Elephas maximus indicus: one gene and its partner. The protein of the gene in region 1 interacts with the protein of each later gene in a biochemical or structural test. Links are inferred from orthologs where the notes say so. Each region holds a gene or a part of one and is shown on either strand. Other genes may lie near its edges. The genes, in order: CHML and RAB1A.

The links.
Region 2: the proteins of CHML (region 1) and RAB1A form a complex in vitro, tested with the Homo sapiens proteins (2 studies listed by BioGRID). The link is inferred for Elephas maximus indicus from reciprocal best matches to the Homo sapiens genes CHML and RAB1A.

The regions. Positions count from the first base shown.
Region 1 is NC_064842.1:22,515,484-22,522,973, forward strand, and holds the start of CHML (rab proteins geranylgeranyltransferase component A 2), read left to right. Parts: upstream 1-4,375; coding exon 4,376-6,343; 3' UTR 6,344-7,490. Other genes in the region: OPN3 (opsin-3), read left to right, coding at 1-234. UniProt on the Homo sapiens protein: Substrate-binding subunit (component A) of the Rab geranylgeranyltransferase (GGTase) complex. Binds unprenylated Rab proteins and presents the substrate peptide to the catalytic component B.
Region 2 is NC_064835.1:71,583,998-71,591,961, forward strand, and holds the start of RAB1A (ras-related protein Rab-1A), read left to right. Parts: upstream 1-4,691; 5' UTR 4,692-4,914; coding exon 4,915-4,937; intron 4,938-7,964. UniProt on the Homo sapiens protein: The small GTPases Rab are key regulators of intracellular membrane trafficking, from the formation of transport vesicles to their fusion with membranes.

The DNA of each region.
Region 1 (7,490 bases):
TGGTCGGCTCCATTGGGCTGCTGGGTGTCGGCAACAACCTGCTGGTGCTCGTCCTGTACTACAAGTTCCAGCGGCTCCGCACGCCCACTCACCTGTTCCTGGTCAACATCAGCCTCAGCGACCTGCTCGTGTCCCTCTTCGGGGTCACCTTTACCTTCGTGTCCTGCCTGAGGAACGGCTGGGTCTGGGACACCGTGGGCTGCGTGTGGGACGGGTTTAGCAGCAGCCTCTTCGGTGAGTTGGGCGGGGAGGAGGGAGCGAGCGTCCGGTTCCCTGCAGAGCCACCAGCCCACCTCGGCTCCTTCCCGCCCGGCCCGGCGCGCCCGCTCGCCCCGCCTGCCGCCCCTGGCACCAGCCTCCCCTCCGCGTCTCCCTCCTGCTGCACGGCCCGCCTTCCTCCTCCCCTGGGCTCGCCCCGCCAGCGCTGACCACCTCTCCGTCCCCCCATGTGGACCCCAAACCCCAGCCCGTCATCATCTCCTGCTGCTTTTAGCCCCAGCCCCTCCGTAGCCCTGGCCAGCCGCTGCCAAGCTCATCTCCTTTCTCTGCTTTTACCTCCTACAATAATTCAACAGGGCACTAACGACGGCTTTTGCACTTTGAGGAAAGAGACGAGGAAAGTAGAATCGGGAGATTCAAGGAAAAAAGTGACTAACTCGTGAAAGTTGGGGGAAGGGTAACGGGAAGAAACTTAATTCATACACATTTTTTTTTCTTATTCCTAAAATGAGAGGTGGAAACCTAAAATAATAGCAATGTGTAATTTTTTTTTTTCTTTTGCACCTTAGCAGTTGTAAACCTTTGAATGCTTCCTAGGAAGTGACACAGTTTCATTCAGGAATGCAAATTAGCATGTGTCCTATCAGCTGTTTTTTACTATATTTTCCTCCTTATAGGTTCCATGACACCAAAATCTAAGGTGAGAATCCCAACTCAGATGAACAAATAGCTGTGCAAACAGTAGATTTCATTAAAGCAGAACGACTTGATTGTTAATTGAAAATTTATCTCTACAGTTTATCTCTTCTAATCCCCATGGAAGAATTAAATCTCACAGAAACTGACATTTTAAGGATGATCAACCCAGCATTTCGTTGGAAGACATGATTTTCTAAGCTTGGGAAATAAATTATTTTGGGGTGCCCTTTTTTTTTCTGGCAGTTTTATTTGAACAATGATTTGAGATAGAAATGTATATTTTTCAGGTGTTAAAATTCCTTTTCTGTCCAGAAATCTATTGATAATTTATGACTGCTTTTTTATCTTAGCAGGTTTCGGAGAACAAAATCTTTGTAATAATCATCAAAAATATTTTGCTCACCGATTTCTTATGCTGTGACAAACCCAAATATGATGTTTGCTAATGGTTCATTTTTTGATATTTTGAAGCAAACAAGAAAATGTCGTAGGAATCATCACTCCATTAATTTAATTATCTCAGTAATTCTAATACCATTCTCTCCCCACTCCCCAGTAAGCGTTCATCTGAGACTTTCATGTGTACAAAGATTTGAAACTTGGGGAGGGGGCTTTAAGTGTATGTAGGTGATGATACAGATGGCTATGTGATTAAATTCTTTATATTAATAAAAATACCTATTAGGCTTTTTTTTTTTTTAAAGTCAGGGCTAAGCTTTAAAGAGGGTGATTCAAGGCCAAGTGTCAAAAATAATGCCCCCTAGGATGGACAACAGGTGTTTGGTCATAGATGTGAAATCTCTTATTTCCACAAAGTACCTTTTCTGTGCTGGGAAATTCTATTTCTACCTTAATCTGCCTGGAAGGTAGTTTGAAAGCAATGGTGTATTGAGTTCTTTATTACTGCCAACGTGGACCCTCTCCTCAACCTCTTTCCTCTGCCTACACCACCCTCCTGTCTCCTGTCTCCTTTTTCTTCTCTCCTCCTTCACCTTCCCTGCCCAAGGCCCATCCCAATCAGAAGCGATTTTCAAAGAATGCTAGAAACACTCATCGTGCAGTCTTTTACCTCAGGACTGCTCTGTTTTTCTGGGCATTTGGTCAGTGTTTTCAACCATGACTTTATTCCTGCTTTTGAATTAGAGGTGGGGACTCAGAGGTAAGAGGTCCAGAGACCTGTTTAAACCCTTGGAGACAGGTCAGGAGTGGGGTTATGATGGAGCTTGAAAAGTTCTTAGTAACGATTCAGATTTCTTTGGAGTAAATTCTAAGGATGATGCTTCTAGATTAGGGTTAAACATGAAGAAGGCAGCATGCTTCCCCAGGTATTATTCTTGAGCAAAAAGCAACTAGCCATGGAGTACTGAAGAGGGAGGGGGGAAAAAAAAAGCTGCAGTGGCTACACCCTGTCCTCAGCCCCCAGAGGCATTTGAGGAGGCTGCCTGATATAGTGGGAAAATATAGTGGCTGATGGCATGAGGGTGCATTCCGCTCTTGAGTCTATGGCTGATGAACTGTGTACATTTTCCCAGGTCGATTAAACTCTCCAGGGGTCAGTTTTCTCATCTCTGTTATGGAGTAGTTGAGCTAAATGTTCTCTAAGGTCTCGTCTAGCTATGTATTTTGATGACTCCTTTGATATTTGTAGCTTAAGAGGTGCTTTCTTTTAGCACTTGTGGCTTCTGTCCTCTCTCTATACTGACTTCCACCCTCAGCTCCTAACTATCCCCTGCTAAGCTAAGGATAAGCCTGTGCTAGGATCACACTTCTTCACGTACCCTCGTGGAATCTGTCACTCTCTTCACACCTGCTGGAAGAAGGCAGAATAAATAACTCAGCCATACGTACATATATATACATGTATAGGCCAGGCAAACACCTCGTTCTGTGTGCAGTTCCTGGTTTCTCAGGGAATGAGGCAGAGGCTTTGACTAGACAGCGTAGGTAGGCCTAACTTGTACTGATGCAGATTCTAGTAGGTTAAGCAGAAAGGGAGATCAGAATTCAAAGCACTGTCACTCTTACTCACTGTGTAATGAATGATAGAAAGACCCCTCTAGCAGCAGAGTGTGTAGAGGGCAGCCCTCGTGCATAGGTGTGGGGAGGTCGTGCTTTACTGTAGACTTCTAGGTGAGAATGCCCTTTAGCCCATGGCTGCTCCACAGCTGGCCACACCTAGTGCCACACGGGTGTTCTGCACATGGAGTATGCTGGAAGTTCACAGAAGACTTTAATCACTACCACCTCCCACCCCCTCAAAACCAAAAACATCAAAAAAACACGTTAGTCTTGGCAGAGGATGTTTAGACAGCAAGTATTTCTTGGGATACAGAGATTCAGAGTTGTAGAAGTCTAGCAAAATACGAAATCATCCTATTCAAATGTTAGAAGTAGATGTAAGTTATTTATGTTAAGATATTCTAACATATGAACCCGGGAATGTTCTACAGAACATATATGTGCGTATGTACATTCACGTAAAAAAATTGTTACAAATAAATATCTTTCCCGGTAGGCCTATTCGTTTATGCACCTAAGTATTTTTAAATGCCGGTTGCTTTACCGATTTACAGATTCATCTTTTATTAATAACCGGCTGATTAATTCAGTCATAATAGTCATACTTTCATGTGACTACCATAAGATCCTATGGGTGGTTGGGGTCTGGAAAGGTATTCTGGTCAACACCTCTAGAATGACCAACTATATTGGCCTTGGAAATACCCCTAATCATGACAGTATTCACATAGCCTATAATCTATTCCCAGAAATACAATGGCATCACACATTTCTTAGAGTCTAAACTCATAGTTGTATGTAGTTTTATTGAAAGTAAAACTTACAGAATTTTATTATGCTAATTCTTCTTTATTTTTGTCAGACATTATTATGTCCATTTTTCGTTATCAAACTAAGTGATTTGCGAGAGTATATCTCCATTGTTCATTTTCAGGAAATTAGAAACTATGTGAGAAAGCATTTAATGACTTGATTTAGCTGAGGTTTCTATCCAGATAACAAGTGAGGCCCCATCAGACTGTAATTGGTGTTGCATGAAATTACTTTTATGTTGTTTACAATTGTATTCTTTTTTGAATTTTCTTCTTTCAGAGAAGAGTTCCAGTCACAAATGCATATGTGATGCATTTTGACATTCACTGCTAAGATGAAATACAGAAATGAAAACCACACATCACTTTTAGTATTCTCAGAATGATTAGATGTACTTTATCATGTTTTCATGCTACTGACCTATAAGAAAATATATATATATATATATTTAAAAAGGGTAATCATTAAACAGCTAGGACCTGCAACCTTGATGCCTCTGGGATGAACTGGAACATCACAAGGAGAGACTCTATTTCAGCATAGTCACACCTCGGCTGAGCCCTCATCCTAGAGTTGTACGCATTTCCTTCATCGGCAGTTGTCACCAGACACATTACCTCCCAGGATGGCAGACAGTCTCCCCACAGAGTTTGATGTGGTTATAATAGGGACAGGTTTGCCTGAATCCATCCTTGCAGCTGCAAGTTCAAGAAGTGGCCAGAGGGTTCTGCATGTTGACTCCAGAAGTTACTATGGAGGGAACTGGGCTAGCTTCAGCTTTTCAGGATTGCTATCCTGGTTGAAGGAATATCAGGAAAACTGTGTTGATGGGGAAGAAAGTACAGCTGCATGGCAAGGCCTGATCCATGAAACAGAAGAAGCCATTACTCTTCGCAAGAAAGATGAAACCATTCAACACGTGGAAGTTTTTTGTTATGCCAGTCAAGATTTGGATGACAGTGTTGAAGAGGTTGGTGCTTTGCAGAAAAATCCTTGCTCAGTGGCATCTAGTACCCTCACTGAAACTCTGGATTCTGCATGCTTGGGCGAAGACGAGCACTTAGTACACATTCCTAGCTATGAAAGGCCTGCCCAAGACACTTCAAAAAGTGATGGAGAGATTTCGCTAGATGTAAATGACGTCAAGGAACCCCCGGAGAAAGGAAACGATGGTGGAGACAGAGCTCGTGCTCACGCGGTTTCAGATGCAGACAAAGATGAAAACAAACCTGCAGGAGAAGGCAACACAGACCAGCCAACAAGAAACAGGATTACTTACTCTCAGATAGTTAAAGAAGGCAGGAGGTTTAATATTGATTTGGTATCAAAGCTGCTGTATTCTCAAGGATTGCTGATTGACCTTTTAATCAAATCAAATGTCAGTCGATATGCAGAATTTAAAAATGTCACAAGGATTCTTGCATTTTGGGAAGGAAAAGTTGAACAAGTGCCTTGTTCCAGAGCAGATGTCTTCAATAGCAAAGAACTCACTATGGTTGAAAAGAGGATGCTCATGAAATTTCTCACGTTTTGCGTTGACTATGAGCAACATCCTGATGAATACGAAGCTTTCAAGCAATGCTCATTTTCAGAGTACTTAAAAACTAAAAAATTAACTCCAAATCTCCAACATTTTGTACTGCACTCAATTGCAATGACATCAGAGTCATCTTGCACTACGATAGATGGCCTTAAAGCAACAAAAAACTTCCTTCAGTGTCTTGGACGGTTCGGCAACACTCCCTTCTTATTTCCCTTATACGGCCAAGGAGAAATTCCCCAGTGTTTCTGCAGGATGTGTGCAGTCTTTGGCGGAATCTATTGTCTTCGGCATAAGGTACACTGCCTTATAGTTGACAAAGAATCTGGGAGATGTAAAGCAGTTATAGATCACTTTGGCCAAAGGATAAATGCCAAGTATTTTATTGTGGAGGATAGCTACCTTTCTGAGGAAACATGTGCACATGTGCAGTATAAGCAGATCTCTAGGGCAGTGCTCATTACAGACCAATCTATACTGAAGACAGATTCAGACCAGCAGATTTCTGTTTTGATAGTGCCTCCAGTAGAAGCAGGGACCTGTGCTGTTCGGGTCATTGAATTATGTTCTTCAACCATGACATGCATGAAAGACACCTATCTGGTGCATTTGACGTGTTCATCTTCTAAAACAGCAAGAGAAGATTTAGAATCAGTGGTGAAGAAGTTATTCACCCCATATGCTGAAACGGAAGTAGACAAGGAAGCGCTTGAAAAGCCAAGACTCTTGTGGGCTCTTTATTTTAATATGAGAGATTCCTCAGGAATCAGCAGAAGCTCATATAATGGCTTGCCTTCCAACGTTTATGTCTGTTCTGGGCCTGACTCTGGTCTGGGAAGTGAGCATGCTGTCAAGCAAGCTGAAACACTTTTCCATGAGATCTTTCCAAGTGAAGAATTCTGCCCCCCACCTCCAAATCCAGAAGACATTGTCTTTGATGGTGATGATAGGCAACCAGAGGCTCCTGGAACCAATAAGACAATAATGGCTGAACCAGAATCCTCTGAAGAAAGCAAAACCCTAGAAAGTCCAGGGAAGCTGCTTCAAAATTAGAACAGGCAAAACTGGAAATTCTGCATTGGCGTCAGAATATTCTCATTTCAAGGACAGTTTCCATATGAATAAATAGAAGTGGTTATATGATAAATGCAGTGCTAGATGTTGTCTTTAACTCTCTATGAGACAGACATTCAGTCATTGGATGTCTTTGTTTATCGGTAGCTGATTCATTGCTTATTGGACTTCTTTTGTTTAAGAATGGACCCCAAGATCCATAAACTTAAATAGTGTTAGCTTTATTTTTGGTATTGCATATATATATGAGCGTTCCATATTCGGAACTCTGCTTAAAGGAAGGTAATATTGTATCCAGTGATCTTCAGATTTTATCATTATCTACAGAGCAATTAATAATCCCTAAGGAATATTTCAAATACTTTTGCAACGATTGCATTTCCTACCACATCTGCTTTCTTGGAGATATTCGAACAGTGAACCACACAAAAATAAATTATGTGAGTCTTTTTATGTGTATTATGGACACGTAGTGTGGCGATGGTAATAGCAACCAATCCAAGTGCCAATATGATAAAATACATTTGTCTGTAATTGTTAAGCAAATAGCCTTGCATGATTCTTTATTCTTTGTGAAGGGCTGATGTTTAAAATACATTTTATGGTATAATTCAGCAGCTTGACCTTGGTAACCAACTGAGTTAGTTCCATATTACAGAAAGAGTCAGAATTTACTAGTTGAAGAGCTTATTTTTCAGAGTTTCATTTGAGAAAAAAGTTAGAGGATAAGATTAGTTCTGGTTTAATACTTCAGAAAATCTCTGCAGAGCCCTGCTCTAACTTGAAGTTCAGTAGATGAGGCCAACTCAAAAGAACTTCCAGCAAGTAACTCAGGCCACAAAGGGGGGCAGCAATGCTCCAAGAAAAGATACTTCACAGTGGCTGTACTGAAATTCCTAAGAAATTGACTGAGGCATGTTTAACCTGGGATTAAAGCCATCGCAGTTTAAATCCACCAGCCATTCTTTGGAAACCCCATGGGGCAGTTCTCTGTCCTGTAGGGTTGCTATGAGTAGGAATGACTTGACAGCAATGGGTTTGGTTGTTTTGGTTGGTAAATAGTTCAGTCGAGGTTTCTCAGTGAGAATGAAACATACAACCTTGATGACTCTACCAGCTTTAAGTA
Region 2 (7,964 bases), on another chromosome or scaffold:
GAACTTTTCTTGGCTCTCCACCACCTACTGAATAAAGTCTAAACTCCTTAGCAGGCAGTTGGGGCTCCCCATGATCTCACCTCAACCTAACTCAACCTAACCTTCTCCACCTCATCTCCCATGGAACCTGTGGTCACTATTGCTTACACGTGTACATTTTCACACTTCCCGTGGTTTTGCACAAATTCTCTTGCTCATATTCTGGGATAAACAGCCCCCTCTCCCCCATTTCTAGTGGTGATCAAACTTCTATTCTTTTTTAAGGCCTAATTCAAATACCACCTCATCAACAAAGTGCCCTCGATTTTTCGAGTTGGAATTATTTCCCTCCACTGTACTTTCACCTCAGATCATTTTTTAAATACTAGGTTTATAATTGAGGTATAACTTACATGCAGTTAAATCAACTTTCTTTTAGGTATACAGTTATATGAGTTTTGATAAACATATACAGTTAAGTAATTAACCACCACAGCAATCAAGATATAGAGTATTTTTTATCAAACCAAAAAGTTCCCTTGTGTCCCTTAGCAAACAATTCCTTCCTTCCCATACCTGTTGTTGTTAGGTGCCATCAAGTCAGTTCTGACTCACAGCGACCCTATGTACAACAGAAAAAAAACTGCCCAGTTCTGCACCATTCTTATAACCGTTGCTTTGACCCCATTGTTGCAGTCACTGTGTCAATCCAACTCATAGAGCGTCTTCTACTTTTTCACTGACACTCTACTAAGCATGATGTCCTCCTCCAGTGGCTGATCCCTCCCGATAACATATTCAAAGTATGTGAGACAAAGTCTTGCCATCCTTCCTTCTGAAGAGCAATCTGGCTGTCCTTCTTCCAAGACAGATTCGTTCATTCTTCTGGCAATCCATGGTATATTCAATATTCTCCATCAACACTATAATAAGTCAAAAGCGTCAATTCTTCCTTGGTCTTCCTTAGTCATTGCCCAGCTTTTGCATGCATATAAGGTGATTGAAAATATCATGGCTTGGGTCAGGTGCACCCTAGTCCTCAAGGTGACATCTTTGCTTTTTAACTCTTTAAAGAGGTCTGTGAAAGAGCACTCTAAAACTGAGGAGCTTGGGGTAACTAAAATGGCTGACACAGGTCTGAATCAGACTCCATTTTGTTTTAAACTCCTCCTGCTGCTTGTTAAGTATTAGTGCCACTTTCTCATCAACAAGTCTTGCTTTGCAAACAAATGTGGTTATTTTTCTTTGACTATGATTCTAGGAAGGGTGTGTGGATCGTTCTCAGAAAAAAAAAAATGCTTGCCCTCTAGAAGAATGTGTTTGAAAATAGATTAACTGATATGAAGAAAGGTCTGTTTGCAGTTGCAGTTACTCTAACCTTCTTGTATAAAAAACCTTGCCTTCGTTTGTAAATTTTGGAGCACTTTGTATTTTTACCTAGTGCTTCCCAGCTATAGCTGTTACTCTTCTTCAATAAATCCCCTTTTCTTTCACTCCTAACAGAGTATGAGATTTTTCTTTGTCAGATCTTTTGCAGCGAATTTGCCCCCTGCAATACGTTGTTTGATTTCTTGACAATCCTAGTTCCTGCCAATCACTGATTTGATTCCTGTCCCTATACATCTCATATCATTTTAATCTATCTTTGCATTTGCCCCTCTATGCCTTGTTTGTGTACACATCTCTCCCACTGGATTGTAATCTCCTTGAAGACAGACAGTTATAATCATTCGTCTTTGCATTTCCCATTGTTCCAAGAACAAGTTCCAAACACATTTAACACATTGTTTTAAGCATAAGTTCCAGACACATTTTTGTGTCAGCTCATGAATACCTGATGAAGAAAAAAAGTGGAAAGAGACGGAGAAATGAAAGTTAGAAAAAAAGAAGAGACAAACAGCCCTAGCAGAGTTCTGATTCAACAAGAGGACAGCCTATAAGACTCATGCTAGTTTAATGAATTATTCTGAGTTATTAATCTTAACTATAAAAGTGTTGTTGTTAGGTACTGATGAGTCAGTTCCAATTCATAGCAACCCCATATACAACAGGAAGAAATACTATCAGATCCTGCGCCATCCTGACAATCATTGCCATGTTTGAGCCCATTTCTGTAGCCACTGTGTCAATTCATCTCGCTGAGGGTCTTTCTCTTTTTTGCTGACTCTTTACCTAAAGAAAAAAAAAAAAATTTTTTTTTTTTTTTCTTTACCTTACCAGGAAACCCTGCTGGCATAGTGGTTAAGTGCTACAGCTGCTAACAAAGAGGTCGGCAGTTTGAATCTGCCAGGCGCTCCTTGAAAACTCTACGGTGCAGTTCTACTCTGTCCTATAGCGTCGCTATGAGTCAGAATCAACTTGACGGCAGTGGGTTTGGTTTTTTGTTTTGTTTTGACCTTACCATGCACAATGTCCTTCTCCAGGGACTGGTTCTTTCTGATAACACGTCCAAAGTACATGAGACGAAGTCTTGTTATCCTTGCTTTCAAGGAGCACCCTGGCTTCTTTCAAGACAGGCTTGTTTGTTCTTCTGGTAGTCATGGTATAGTCAACATTCTTCACCAACATCATAATTCAGAGGCATCAATCTGTCTCTGATCTTCCTTATTCATTGTCCAGCTTTTGCATGCATATGAGGAGACTGAAAATATCATGGCTTGGTCAGGCACACATTACTCCTCAAAATGATACCTTCACTTTTTAACACTTTAAATAGGTATTTTGGAGCAGATTTGCCCAATGTAATATGTTGTTAGATTTCTTGACTTGCTGCAGTTGGAGACTTAAACAACTTGAAGTAAGTTGAAACATCCACCCACCACTCTCAAGCTGCTACTTGCATATTATACCATAATGAGATATAAAGCTTTTTGTCCTTAGTGTATAGCAGGTACACTTAAAACTTGCAGGGAAGAGGATAAAGAGAATTTTTAACCAGTGCCCTCAAAAAGTCATTGTGTTCTACAATTCTATTCGATTTTATTTCATTCTCACAACCAATTTAGGTTAAAAGTTATTAGAAGGTACTTCTTTGCTAGGAAAAGAAATAAGTAAAGGACTTTGGGGGTATGCTTCCAAGAGGAAGGAGAGATTAAAAATTGCATTTTTGGCTCAGGAGAAGTCCTTGAGCCCTTTTCTCATTTTTTATTCTATGAAGTTTCAATAAGCTAGAAGTACTGAGGTATGTTACTGTTCAGGGTGTCTATCGTTGACCCATTCTGGGTCCTTCTTCTGAGGTAGTGACTGTGTTCATTTCAGAAACCAGCATAATGTGAAGGAACTCTAGTGTACCTTTGATGAGGTTATCAACTAAGGTGCCAGCACTATTTGGGGATTAAGAGTTGTAGTTAGTAAAAATGGGGAGAAATAAGAACCACCTTCTTTCTATACTTTGATGTCATGAGAATATAAAATGATTTTGCAATAAGCCTTAGGAGATAATTTTCTTGGTTCCTAGAGCAAGTTGGAAGATAAACTTTGGACAACGTATTATACTGTGCCCTTCGTAATTAAATAACCCAAGATAATGTCTTAAAAGTTTAGTGATTTAAATTCCTGAACTGATTAAAGAGAGCTGTTAAGACCACAAGGTTTCAAAATTGTATCAATATTACTCCCTGAGTTTCTAGTTATGTATTGAGCGTTTCTATCCCTCACTACTGTCCAATCTTACAGATTGGCTCAGTACTAATAACAATTAAAAATAAGACAGTACACTTCCACTCAAAGGCTGGGGCTCGAACAGGAGGGACCTCGAATTTTAGGCTGACTCTGGGCTGTGTCTCATCCACGGAATGCGGAGCCATTGAAGATGTGGGGTAGTCAACATGAAAGTGCTGTTTCGGGAAGATAAATCTGGCCGTGTGTGCAAGATGGGCTGGGGTGGAGAAGAAATAGATGCAGAGTCCATTTGGAAGCTACCGCAATATCCAGGGTGAGGTGCTAGGAGCGGGCTGGAATAGGAATGAAAAGAAATCAAGAAAATGGGACTGCGTGCGGCCAATACTGGGATGATCGGACCCACTGGAAGAGTGAGGAAGAGAACTGAAAGAACGGCTTTGTGTTTTCCAGAGACCCGAAGTCTTTGGCAAAGTGCCTTTTACTTCCCTTCTATCCTGAGAGCGGGCATCCTGGGACCGGCCTAGAAGCTCAAGCCCCAAGGTGGTGAGGCCAGCAAAAGCCGCACCAGAGGCGGACCCGCCAGGCGTGTCCTCCGACACCCCCGGCCAGCCCGCCTCGGCACTCAGGCTGTCCCTCCGGTCTGACCCCTCCCTCCCTCCTCTCCCAGCCCCCTGCACTCACCCCACCCCCGTCCTCCGCCGGCCCCGAGCACTGCGCTCTGCCCCTCCCTTCCCCCTCCCCCGTGGGGCGCTGACTCGCCCGGCTGCCACGTCTCACTGATGACATCACCAGGGCAGCTCGGCGTTAGCCAATCCGCTAGGGGGAGTCCGAGCGAAGACCTAGCCAGCGAGTCAGCAGGGAGGGGAACGGGGAGGAGCGGCTGGGTGGGGGTGAAACTGGGGGGAATGAGGCGGACCACAGCCCGTCAAATACGCATGCACCAAATGCGCAGCGCTTGGCGGGAAGTTGAGTCCTGGTCCCTGCGCTGCACCGTCAGTCCTTAGCGCTCACAGACGCGGCCTGCGACTCTCTTTCCCGGCATGCCATGCGGTGCGGCCGCCCCCTGGCCGTGTAAAGGCCCCACGGTCTAAGGCTTCCCTATTTCCTGGTTCGCCGGCGGCCATTTTGGGTGGAAGCGATAGCTGAGTGGCGGCGGCTGCTGATTGTGTTCTAAGGGGACGAAGTGGGGGAAGACGTTTGCTCTCCCGGAACAGCCTATCTCATTCCTCTCCTTTGATTATCTGTGGCGCGGAGAGTCAGGGCGGCGGCTGCGGCAGCAAGGGCGGCGGTGGCGGCGGCGGCAGCTGCAGTGACATGTCCAGCATGAATCCCGAATAGTGAGTGTAGGAGAGCACCGGTCGGCTGGATCCGTGGGCTAGCTTGGGGAATCTCAAAGGGGGCGAGGAGGGCGGGGGTAGAGGCTTCGGCCGGGGTGAGGTGAGGGTGATGGGGCGGGAGAGGCCCGCGGCCAGGAGCCGGGCCCCATTGTCTGACGGCGGAGGGGCGGCCGGGGGGAGGGGGCGGGCCGGAGGGGTGAGCCGAGGGAGCCTGGACCCGGTCAGGTGGGAAGGCCGTAGTGCAGGGCCGGTGAGGAGGAAGGGGCCGCGAGAGAGTTTCGGGGAGGGGGGATTCAGGCGTTGGGAGTTGAGTGGTGGGGCGGTGGGAAGAGGTAGCTTCTCTTGGAGGAAGTGACTTTTGAAGGACTCATTTTTTAGGGTCGGAGGTAGGTAGGAGAGCTCTCCAACGGGGCACTATCAGCCCCTGTTCCTGCACCCTGCGGAGCTGTCAGGATCGCCAGGGTAGAAACCAGCTTTACTTGTAAATTCTGAGGCTATTTACTCTTTCCTCCCATCCTCCCCGCCAGGTTGCAGGTAATATGGATGCTTTTCAGGACTGCGTGGGATTGAGGGGAATGAGTAGCTGGCGAGAAGCGATTTAAAATTTTTGTTCTCTCTTTGAGTTTTCTGAAGGAGTTCTTTAAGAACTCGCCGGGCCCTTACTTTCCTAAGAACCTGGACATTTGGGAGTTTTTTTTATTTTTATTTTTTATAAGGAGGACGCAGAAGTCATTTTGTTTTCCGTAGGTCAAATAAAAGAACAAAACTGAAACCAAGGACCGTCTTCCTAATATTACCAAATTCAAGGAATCCTTTGCTGTCAAGTTGAAAGAGAAACGAATGGGACCTATGGTAGATCTGTAGGTTTTGTATTACCTGCTTGAATGCTTGCAGATAGGGAATGAGGCTCCATGACGTGTCATGAAAAGTTAATGCATTTTTTTTCTTGCTTACTCAGAAGTCACCACAGCAGATGTGACACACCTGGCTCCTTTCTTGGGAACTGGTGTTTACTTTCCTTGGGAAGACTTGGTAGGATTCTTCTCAGTGTCCATTGAAAAAATCCTCCTGCAGTATCCTCCACACGTGCACATATATATAAATTAATACTTGGAAAAGATTTAATTGATAATTCTCTTTAGAGTCAGCAGTTTTTAGGAGGAGAGGGGAAATTTTTTTTAAAGCAAAAATCAGCGTTTGTCCTAAAAGTTGAGTTTATTTGCTTAACATTTCCGCTTGAAAAGTCCACTCATTAGCTGTCATGTGTATGTCACATGGCTCTTGCAAAATGCATTCTGACTTCAAGTTTGGTAATGCTGCGGTTTGATGTGGGAATGTTCTTTCTTTTGTACTAAACAGAAGTCATAGTATTTTATTAGAATTTTATATAATTCGAGAAGTTGAGGATAGCGCACTTGTAGTAACATATTTGCTGTGTTGACAGTGTTTTATTTCTTTATCTGGGGCTCCAAGGACAAAGTTGGTTTTGCATAGTTGGACAGAGTTTTCCTGGCAACAGTAGAGGACGTGGATTTACCACTTATGAAGGTGTGTAAACCTCTGCTGTTCAGGGAGTTTTTCATATTTGCTACATGCATGCAGTACTGTAAATAGATCTTAAATATTAGTTGAACAGAATCTTGACAAGTTTCTTATTTTTGTAAAATAGGATAATGGTCCCGTCATTATTCCTACCAGGATCCTCGTGAGGTTCAAACTATAAGAGTCCTCTTGAGGTGGTGTACATCGTTATGTAAAGCATTATAGTAGTGCTGGGATTTAGGGATCTAATCCTTACCATCAAGGAGTTTATAAGGGAATATAGAACATAGATTGCATATATGTCAAATACCAGTAGGTACAGCAAGTTCTAGATAGGTGGCATGAATCTAAGCAACCAGATTTCAGAGGCGAGTGAGTGGTTTGGTTCAGGAAGGCTTGAAAGAAATGGAAGGTCTGACCTTTATAGAAACGGACCTGTAAGGGAATTAGAAGCAATTAGATTTGGTGAAGCAGAAGGGAATGAGGATTTTCCAAGGGGGTAAAAGGTAGAGGAATGGCTGATAAATGGCAAGAACAATACTTTTTTTTTTTTTTAAGAAAACATTATATTGTTGAATGGCTTATTTTACTGACCTTAAAAAGAACATTTCTGAGGAATTTACTTGGTGAAATATTAGTGTTAAAATAGTGAAAAACCAGGATGCAAAACTGCTTACAATAAGATCTTAATTATGATATTAAAATACGCTGAAGAAAACTGGAAGAAAATTCTTTAAAATATTAATGGTTACTTTCTCAGTTGTAAGTTTTTTTTACACTTTTACCTTTTTCAGTTCATATATACTGCTTTTATAGTTGGAAATTTATTAACTTTCAATTATAAAGACAGTATTTCTTTAGTAAATATGGTGTCAGACCATCCGTTCTTTTGAGTGCTATGGGTTATTGACTTCAACAGAATCAAACCTAGAAATAGTTTTTACAGTTTTTTTCCAGGTTCGAGTATTCTCCTTTAAAAAAAAAAAAAAGAACAAACTAAACCCATTGCCGTCGAGTGGATTCTGACCCACAGCAGCCCTGTAGGGCAGAGTAGGACTGTCCCGGAGGGTTTCCAAGGGTTCATTATGGAAGCAGACTGCCACATCTTTCTCCTGTGGAGCAGCTGGTGGCTTCAAACAGTGGACCTTTCAGTTAGCAACTGAGGGCTTTAACCGCTGTACCACCGGGGCTCCATTCACCATTAGGCTGCTGTTATATTCTAGACTGTGCCCTGGTGGTACAGTGGTTAAGAGCTTGGCTGCTAACCAAAAGGTGGGCAGTTCGAATCCACCAAGCCACTTCTTGGAAACCCTGTGGGGCAGTTTTCTTCTGTCCTGTGGGGTCGCTGTGAGTGGGAATTGTCTGGATGGCAATGGGTTGTGGTTATTTTTTTACAGTTAGGCTGTGCCTGATGTAATAATCTAGGAGTTTGGGGAAATATTTGGAGAAGTGTTAGTAAAAATTACTTGGGGCAATAGGAGGTGA